Danio rerio: one gene and its partner. The protein of the gene in region 1 purifies or fractionates together with the protein of each later gene. This does not show direct contact. Links are inferred from orthologs where the notes say so. Each region holds a gene or a part of one and is shown on either strand. Other genes may lie near its edges.

The links. The genes of interacting proteins can lie anywhere in the genome.
Region 2: the proteins of cop1 (region 1) and det1 purify together in Homo sapiens (affinity purification with western blotting; 11 studies listed by BioGRID and IntAct, counting the BioPlex papers as one, with this or other methods). This does not show direct contact. The link is inferred for Danio rerio from reciprocal best matches to the Homo sapiens genes COP1 and DET1.

What each region holds. Positions count from the first base shown.
Region 1 is NC_133177.1:38,090,524-38,094,759, reverse strand, and holds the start of cop1 (E3 ubiquitin-protein ligase COP1), read right to left. Parts: upstream 2,801-4,236; 5' UTR 2,501-2,800; coding exon 2,208-2,500; intron 1,384-2,207; coding exon 1,324-1,383; intron 1,216-1,323; coding exon 1,118-1,215; intron 983-1,117; coding exon 918-982; intron 809-917; coding exon 689-808; intron 1-688. UniProt on the Homo sapiens protein: E3 ubiquitin-protein ligase that mediates ubiquitination and subsequent proteasomal degradation of target proteins.
Region 2 is NC_133200.1:13,239,849-13,243,348, reverse strand, and holds part of det1 (DET1 homolog), read left to right. Parts: intron 1-663; 5' UTR 664-679; coding exon 680-1,444; intron 1,445-3,500. UniProt on the Homo sapiens protein: Component of the E3 ubiquitin ligase DCX DET1-COP1 complex, which is required for ubiquitination and subsequent degradation of target proteins. The complex is involved in JUN ubiquitination and degradation.

The sequences.
Region 1 (4,236 bases):
AAAATAGGTGGATGGAAACATAGCTATTGTCTTGTCAAGAAGATCTGTGAGGTCACAAAGTAAAAACACATTGCATGCCATGTAAAAAAAAACTACTGTAAAAAAAAAACAAAAAAACAACTAAAATATTGCACTTTACTTGTTTTAAATGCTGCTAAGAAGACATCTTAGAAGATGGGTTAAGTTCAAACCGAACCATGCCACCATTGTGCTCTATCAAACTGAGCTGTAAATTTTGAGACCATTACACCACTATTACTTTGTGTGTCATTTTCCACAAGTAAACCAATCCAGACCTTGATTTTAAGTGGGTTGAGACTGCAATTCCTGCAATTGCAGGCTGACTGTTCTAGTTTGGATCAGTGCAGTGATAGCAATGTTCACAACTTCCTAAACAAACCAAGCTAAGCGAGAAAAGCACACTTGTAACATTTTAACAGTTTTACATGGGATTTATTTAAAGATTCATTTACAAGCCATGTGCCCTAAAAATGTGATAAAATACCTGAAGTGATATTTACATTAATTTGGACTCTGTAGAAACCCAACTTTAGTGTCTAAATACCACATGCAGCTGTTTTTTGGCCATTTTCAGCTTTTATTTGAGTGAAATGTTCACATAAGATGACTTTTCCCAAGGAACCCTGAAGTGTTACAATAATGTAATATATTTAAAACGTATACCAACCGCCTCCAGTTGTTTCTTTTTTTGCAGCAGGTACTCTAATATGTAGTTGACATTTGCTAAATCCATATTCTCTTGATCAGCCCCAAGAACATCCTGGAAAACTTGCCATTTGGTTCCATTCTATGAAAAGCAGATGAAACAGGACATTTCAATGCTCTTCAATCAGTAATAGTTGAAATTAAATTTGTTTGAATAATTTCTAGTTCTCATATAAAAAATGAGATCTTACAGGGTGATCCCGTTTTAGACGCTTCTCCTCAGATCTCTGTTTTTGTTTCAAGATTAGTTCATTCACTGTAAAAACAACAGAATGAAGTCAGTACTCAAGAAATCAATCAAATGTCATGTTTGATATCTTTCAGAAACTTATACAGTAGGTGGTGGCAATAAACAAAATACAACAGATGACATGCATCAACATTTACATACCTAAGAAGTTGGGGTAAAGTTGATCCACATTGTCAATTATGTAATTACATTTTGGGCATCTGTTGCTGTCCTCCAAACTCTGTCGTATACATTTATAACTAAACAGATATACAGAAAAAATGTTTGATCAAAGCCTGTAAATGGGCATGAAATGCAATGTAAATTGCAAGGTTAACCTCTCAGTTTAGAGAACAAAGGCTTCTCACCAGAAACTGTGGCCACACTTTGTCATGTGAGCTTCCTCTATCATCTCAAAACATATAGGGCTGTTAAGAAAGAAAAAAAAAAAGAAAAAATAATGAAATTACATGCACAAGACTTGCTTCCCTTTTTTCAATGCAATACTGAAGACTACAAGGTTGTTATTGTATTTAGTACACTGACCACCGGAGACCAATAATCTTTTTAGGAACATTTGATTATTAGCATAACTTGAGTGCAAAATAAAGGCAAATGTGTGTTGTTGGCATCCACATCAAATTAAACTGCAAACAGATGTGTAATGCTTACAAACATCATATTAGAGGAAAGTAAAACAACTTAAAAATTAAATCTGGTTGAATTTGTTTCATCGTCATTCAGTAGAACAGATAAACTACTATAAAACAAAATATTTCAAATAACTAAAACCATCCATAGGTCAACTGAGACTCTAAATATGCTTGCCAAGATTCTTGTTAATTTCTATATATTTCTAGTTATATAATCTAATGTTACAAGAAACAACACTACATTTTCAATGTTCTGTGTATGTCAACAGTTCTTAAAATAATATGATTTTCTTCTGTGGGATTGACAATACAAACTGACAATATAGAGCTGTCACACTCAAACATTGTGTATAATGTTTTCTTCGAAAAAGTTTGAAAGCTGATGACAGACTGTTCATTTAAAGGGAAACTATCCCTTTAACTCCCTGTTGACAATTATCAATTAGCCTTACTCGCGGTATTAAAGGATTAAGCACGAACCAAATAGCAGAATTTGCCAGGTACACCTGCAATTAAGCCCACATGTGGTTCAAAACAAACATACTACCACTTCATTATCGAGTGAATTTAGCCATGTGAGGGAATGTGAATGCACTTACCATACAAAATCATTACTCTTGTCTTCATAGGGATTGATAAGACCGTTATACAAGGGTCTTTTCCTGCTTAAAGAGCCCAGACGAGCGCTCTGTCCGTCGGCTACCGAGCCCAGAGTCCTCGAGGACACCCCGTTACCCGAGCTGCTCCCGTTCTGAGCGGCGCTGTTCCCACTGTTTGCTCCGCCGGTGCCGCCGCTGCTGCTGAGGCTACACAAACTCCCGGAGCTTGTCCCAGGGACGGAACCCGCTGCACCACCGGACTGCTGCTGTTGCTGCTGCCGAGTGCTTGACATAATTGAAGCCGTTCGTGCACGTCGGAAGGCCAGAGCTGAAGCTAAATTTGCGGAGCTTCACCGCATCCGGGCGGCTGTGGGAGATACGCTAACTAGCTAAAGCAACACCAATAAGAGAAAAGAGGCAGGAACTTCCACCGAGCGCGCTGCTAGGACTGAAAGGCGCAAATTTCTTCACAAGTGAGGTGCTTTTTCTGCATGCAGAAGGCTCGCATTTAGGTCTGCTCGATGCTAATGTAGATATGCAACTCCGCAGAGATTTGTTGACAACTATGAGAGCTTTAGAAATTTCAGTCCACTGTCTGCAGGATGTTCACGCGAGAACTTCCCCGAGAGGAAACGCTCGTGTGGCTCAGGGTTCAGCGGCATCTACTGGCCTGGAGAAAAACTGTAAACACTCAAAACTATTCAGGACAGCTACTCGTCGATTTGACAATCTTCCAAAAACATACAAGTACTATGAGCATCCCCATATTATGAAGCAACGAACGTTCTCAAACACATCGTCTTTGATGTTTACGGTATGGCTGCATGCATGTAATTTATATCGTAAGGAGCAAAAGTATTTTTTTTAAAGGCCTGTATGTAGCCTAATTCTATTCCTAAAATAGGCCTATGGCATTTAAAATATTATAATATAAAACTATTACTCTCGAATAGACATGGGCTGGTATACGATTATGACGGTATGATAACTTTGGATAAAAATATCATGGGATTGCTGCTGTAAAATGTATTAATTTTAAATGCATGGGTAAAAAACAACAGCCCCCAATTTAAAGAGGCATCTTTGGATTTCTTTTCTTTTGGAGACCATGTTGTCCTAAAACACACACACACACACACACACACACACACACAAAAAAACGTAAATAAAAAATCTTACACATACCTTTGGAACGGTATAGTAGAAATTTTTGGCGGTTTTCTCGTCCCATGTCTACTCGGTTTCTGCCCTAACTTACAGGTTAGGCATATTTTAAAGTTAGCCTAACGTTAATTTTAAACACAATTTTACAACTTGTCACATTTGCTTTGCATTTTCTTAAAATGAAATAGGAATGACAAAAAAGAAAGACATTAATGCTTTTGAACTGAATTATGGATAATTAGTTTCTGCTCCAAAGACTTTTGATGTTGAAAAACAAGTAAAAAAACAACAGCAACCTTTACTTTTATTGATATTTCTAATTTGAACGAAGATATTGTGATAGCTTATCATATAAACTGCAGTACAAAAACTGAGTAATGAGGTGGCAGTATCTTCTGTTATTTTACACCTTTAAATTTTTTTAACAGTACATAAGATTTATGATGGTGTTACGGATCACAAATCTCATGGTTTGGTCACAGATCGGATCATTTTTCGGACCAGCAAAAAAGGAAAGAAACAAATGTCATTTGCTTTCCACTCATACAAAAATATTACTGCAAAATCCATTGGCTTTAACAAACAGAACTTAGAACTTGTAATTTTAATAAAAATAAAAATCAAGAAAAAAACAGCTAAAAAACTTCTTGTACAACATATCGTATTTATTTTCAATTAATGATTCCACAATTCACACATAAAACTTAATGTTTATGTTTCGTTTTTGGATTATCATTTTTGAAAACCAATTCAGTGACATCATTTTGATGATTGTTTATCGCCACCCATTGGTTACACAGTGTAATTGCTACAACATTCACCAGTTCTATCAACAATCACTCAAGTTCTATTAAGCAGTGCTTTT
Region 2 (3,500 bases), on another chromosome or scaffold:
AGGTTTATTTTCCTCATATAAAATATAAAAAACGTTTATATACTGAGGTTTTTCTGATCCCATTACTTTGTGCTTTGTGGTTTTGGAAAATATGAACAGTTGTTTAAATATAATGTTAACATGTACTTTTTCTGGGAATTTATGTTTTAACTTTTACTGCAAATATCACATCCATGACACTGGAATTGCTCAATTACCTCTCTTTTTTTCTCTTATAGGAGAAATAAGCTTCTATATCTGTCTGCTACCCAATTAACACATTTATGACTTTATTTTCTTTTTTTAAAAATTTTAATTCAAGTCAAGTTTACTTGTATAGTGCTTTTTTTTTCTTTTTTTTTTTTTTACAATAATTATCGATACAAAGCAGCTTCACAAAAGATTCACATTACATTTGTCAAAATCAGAAAAGTTAGAGTTGTTTTAAATTCAAAACATGATTCATAAATACACAAATCCAATTCGTAACTTCCAAAACGAGATTCGGAAATACACAAATCCAATTCATTTGCTGAAAATATTATATATAATATAAAAATAATATAATTATGCATTTACAAAGAAGTTTATTTGTGTATCAAGTGTTTGTTGTTTTTGAAGTTATCTTAAAGTTGGCATAATCTTTTTAAATCCTTATCTTAAAAGTCTTTTTTTTTTTTGCAGTGATAAAGCTGTTATTATGGCTGCTCACCACCACCTCCACCACCACAACACATCAGAAGACGATTTCCCCACTCTCAAACCAAGACGCATCCAAAACCAGAATGTGGTCCACCGGCTAGAAAGGCGTCGGATCTGCTCTGGCCCGGTCGGTGCTCACTGGTACCGCGTGCGCTGCTTCCACCAAAACCTGTTTCCCAACTTTACAGTAGTGAACGTAGAGAAGCCGCCCTGCTTCCTCCGCAAGTTCTCTCCTGACGGACGATGCTTCATTGCGTTCTCTTCCGATCAAACTTCCTTGGAGATCTACGAATACCAAGGATGCCAAGCCGCCGAAGACCTTCTCCAGGGTCAAGAGGGAGAAACTCTGGCCAACGGAAATGACCAGCGTTCCTTCAACATCAGAGGTCACCTCTTCGAACGCTTTTTCTCTCTACTTCACGTCACTAATGTGGCCTCCAACGGCGAGCACTTGAACAGAGAATGTAGTCTTTTTACTGACGACTGTCGTTATGTGATCGTCGGCTCGGCTGCTTATTTACCTGAAGAACCTCATCCGCACTTTTTTGAGGTGTATAGAAATAATGAATCAGTGACTCCCAATCCAAGATCTCCTCTGGAGGACTATTCTCTGCACATCATAGACTTGCACACGGGACGGCTGTGTGATACACGCACCTTTAAGTGTGACAAAATCATTCTATCGCACAACCAAGGACTGTACCTGTACAGCAATATTCTGGCCGTGCTTTCTGTGCAGCAACAGACGATACATGTGTTTCAGGTGAGAGTTGGAAAAAATTAGGAGACATAACTAGAAAAGACTTAACTGAGTTAAAAAAAAAATCAGTCTTTTTAAATACTTTTTATTAGGGCTGTGCGATATGGGCAAAAGAAACCTATCAAGATTTTCTAGAACAATATTGCGATTTCGATTTTAATCATAATTTTGTTTCTGATACATATTACTAAAGGAAAACAATTAGATCTTTATCAAAGACCTGTAACACTCTAAAACAGACATAAGACATACAAAAAATGAATATAACCTAGTAAAGGTATAACAAATTGTCTCTAGAACAGACAACATGGTGAAACAAATAGGCTACTGTGTGTGCGTACTCAAGTAAGTCTCCAATGTTATACTTGACCACATATCAGAATTAGTTGTGAGTACTTTTCTACGTTTTCACAGATTTGTTATTTTTATTTTTTGCCTTGCATAGATCATAGACGCTGCTGTGAAATAGGCCGTTCACATATTGTGTCTTTTGCATGCACAAGTTTGTTATCTTCAATGGAGGCGTGCGAATTGCGCACCTATTGGGAGCGAAGTGCTCGTGTATTCCAGGCTCACCAAGATAAAAACATCTAAACTGTTCAGAATGCCACACCGCGAGTCATATAAGTTAACAAGAAATGACTGATCAACTTTATAATTCATATAGAATATACACATTTAAGTAGACTAATTAGCTAGCGCAGACAAACACAGAGCACCCAAACACTTCAGTGCTTTTCAATTTTCTTCATAAATTTGTAAAACTTGTATCAGAGCTGCAGCAAAGTTTTGTTTGTTTGTCATTCTCTGAGAAAATGGTTGATGATCGCATAGCAATTATATACGACAAAGGAGTGCGTGCGCAAATCATGTTGAAAATGCAGAGATTTCCACATGCTTTTAGACATGATCGGGACTGACAGATCTTACAAATTGCCTGGTTCTGCGATTAGGCATAGGCTGGTATAAGATTCTGACGTTATTTTAGCCTTGGATAAAAATATCTTGGTTTCACTGTATTGTGATTACTGCTCTAAAATATATTCCTTTTAGATGTCTGGGTAAAAAAAAAAAAAAAAAAAAAAAAAACCTTTTCACCCTTTGAACACAATACATTTCATTTTGAGAAACATTTAAAATATTTTGGAGCAGTAAACGTGTCAGGCTGAACAATGAAAAAGAATCATTGAGTTCTGCTGTTTTCTTTAGTTTCTAAAACACAGATTTCTTTACTTTACAGATTTATTTAAAATGGCATGTTTGGATATCTTTTCTGCTGGAGATACTGTTGTCCTAACAAACAAACAAACAAAATAATGTAAATAAAAAAAATCTTACATATACCATAGGAACAGTATAGCAGAAAATTTTGGTGGTTTTAAAACATTGAATTTTCCCACCCGTGGTATACCTTATAACGGTTATTGTCTCATGCCTATCTGCGATACATCAGCCTTCCTGTATCCAAAGTAATCCAAAGTAATTGACTTTTTTGAGCACCAAGTCCTCCTGTAATGAACTCATCATCCCTGTTTATTCAGACTATTTGACATTAAGCTCAGTCTCCCATTCTCACGCTCTGCTTAAGAACCCTGTGTTATGATTGGTTCAAATAGCAAACTGTGGGAGATGTATCAATCGGGACTGGAGTGAGCAAAAAAATAGTCCTGTAAGGCGATTTAGAAATTGTGCAAGTTTAAATTGCAATTTTGTTATGATTTTAATTATTTGCACAGCTCTACTTTTTATACTTGTATTTACACATGGACTTTTTTTTTTACTTCGCTGTCATACAAATGCAAATTGCAATATTAACAACAAAATAAAGAGGGAGAGAGAGATCGGGAAATATTATTTTTAAGTTGCATGAATAATTTTAATTTAACTAGAAGAACTATCACTTGTAGGAACATTTGTCATTTGATATTTGTATAATTTGGGGGTTAAAGATAAATATGAAAAATGCAAAAAAAAAAAAAATTCCCTGTAAAATCTTGAAATATTTTGACTAATTTTGTTTAGTTGTAACATTTTGTCCAATAATATTATTATAATATTT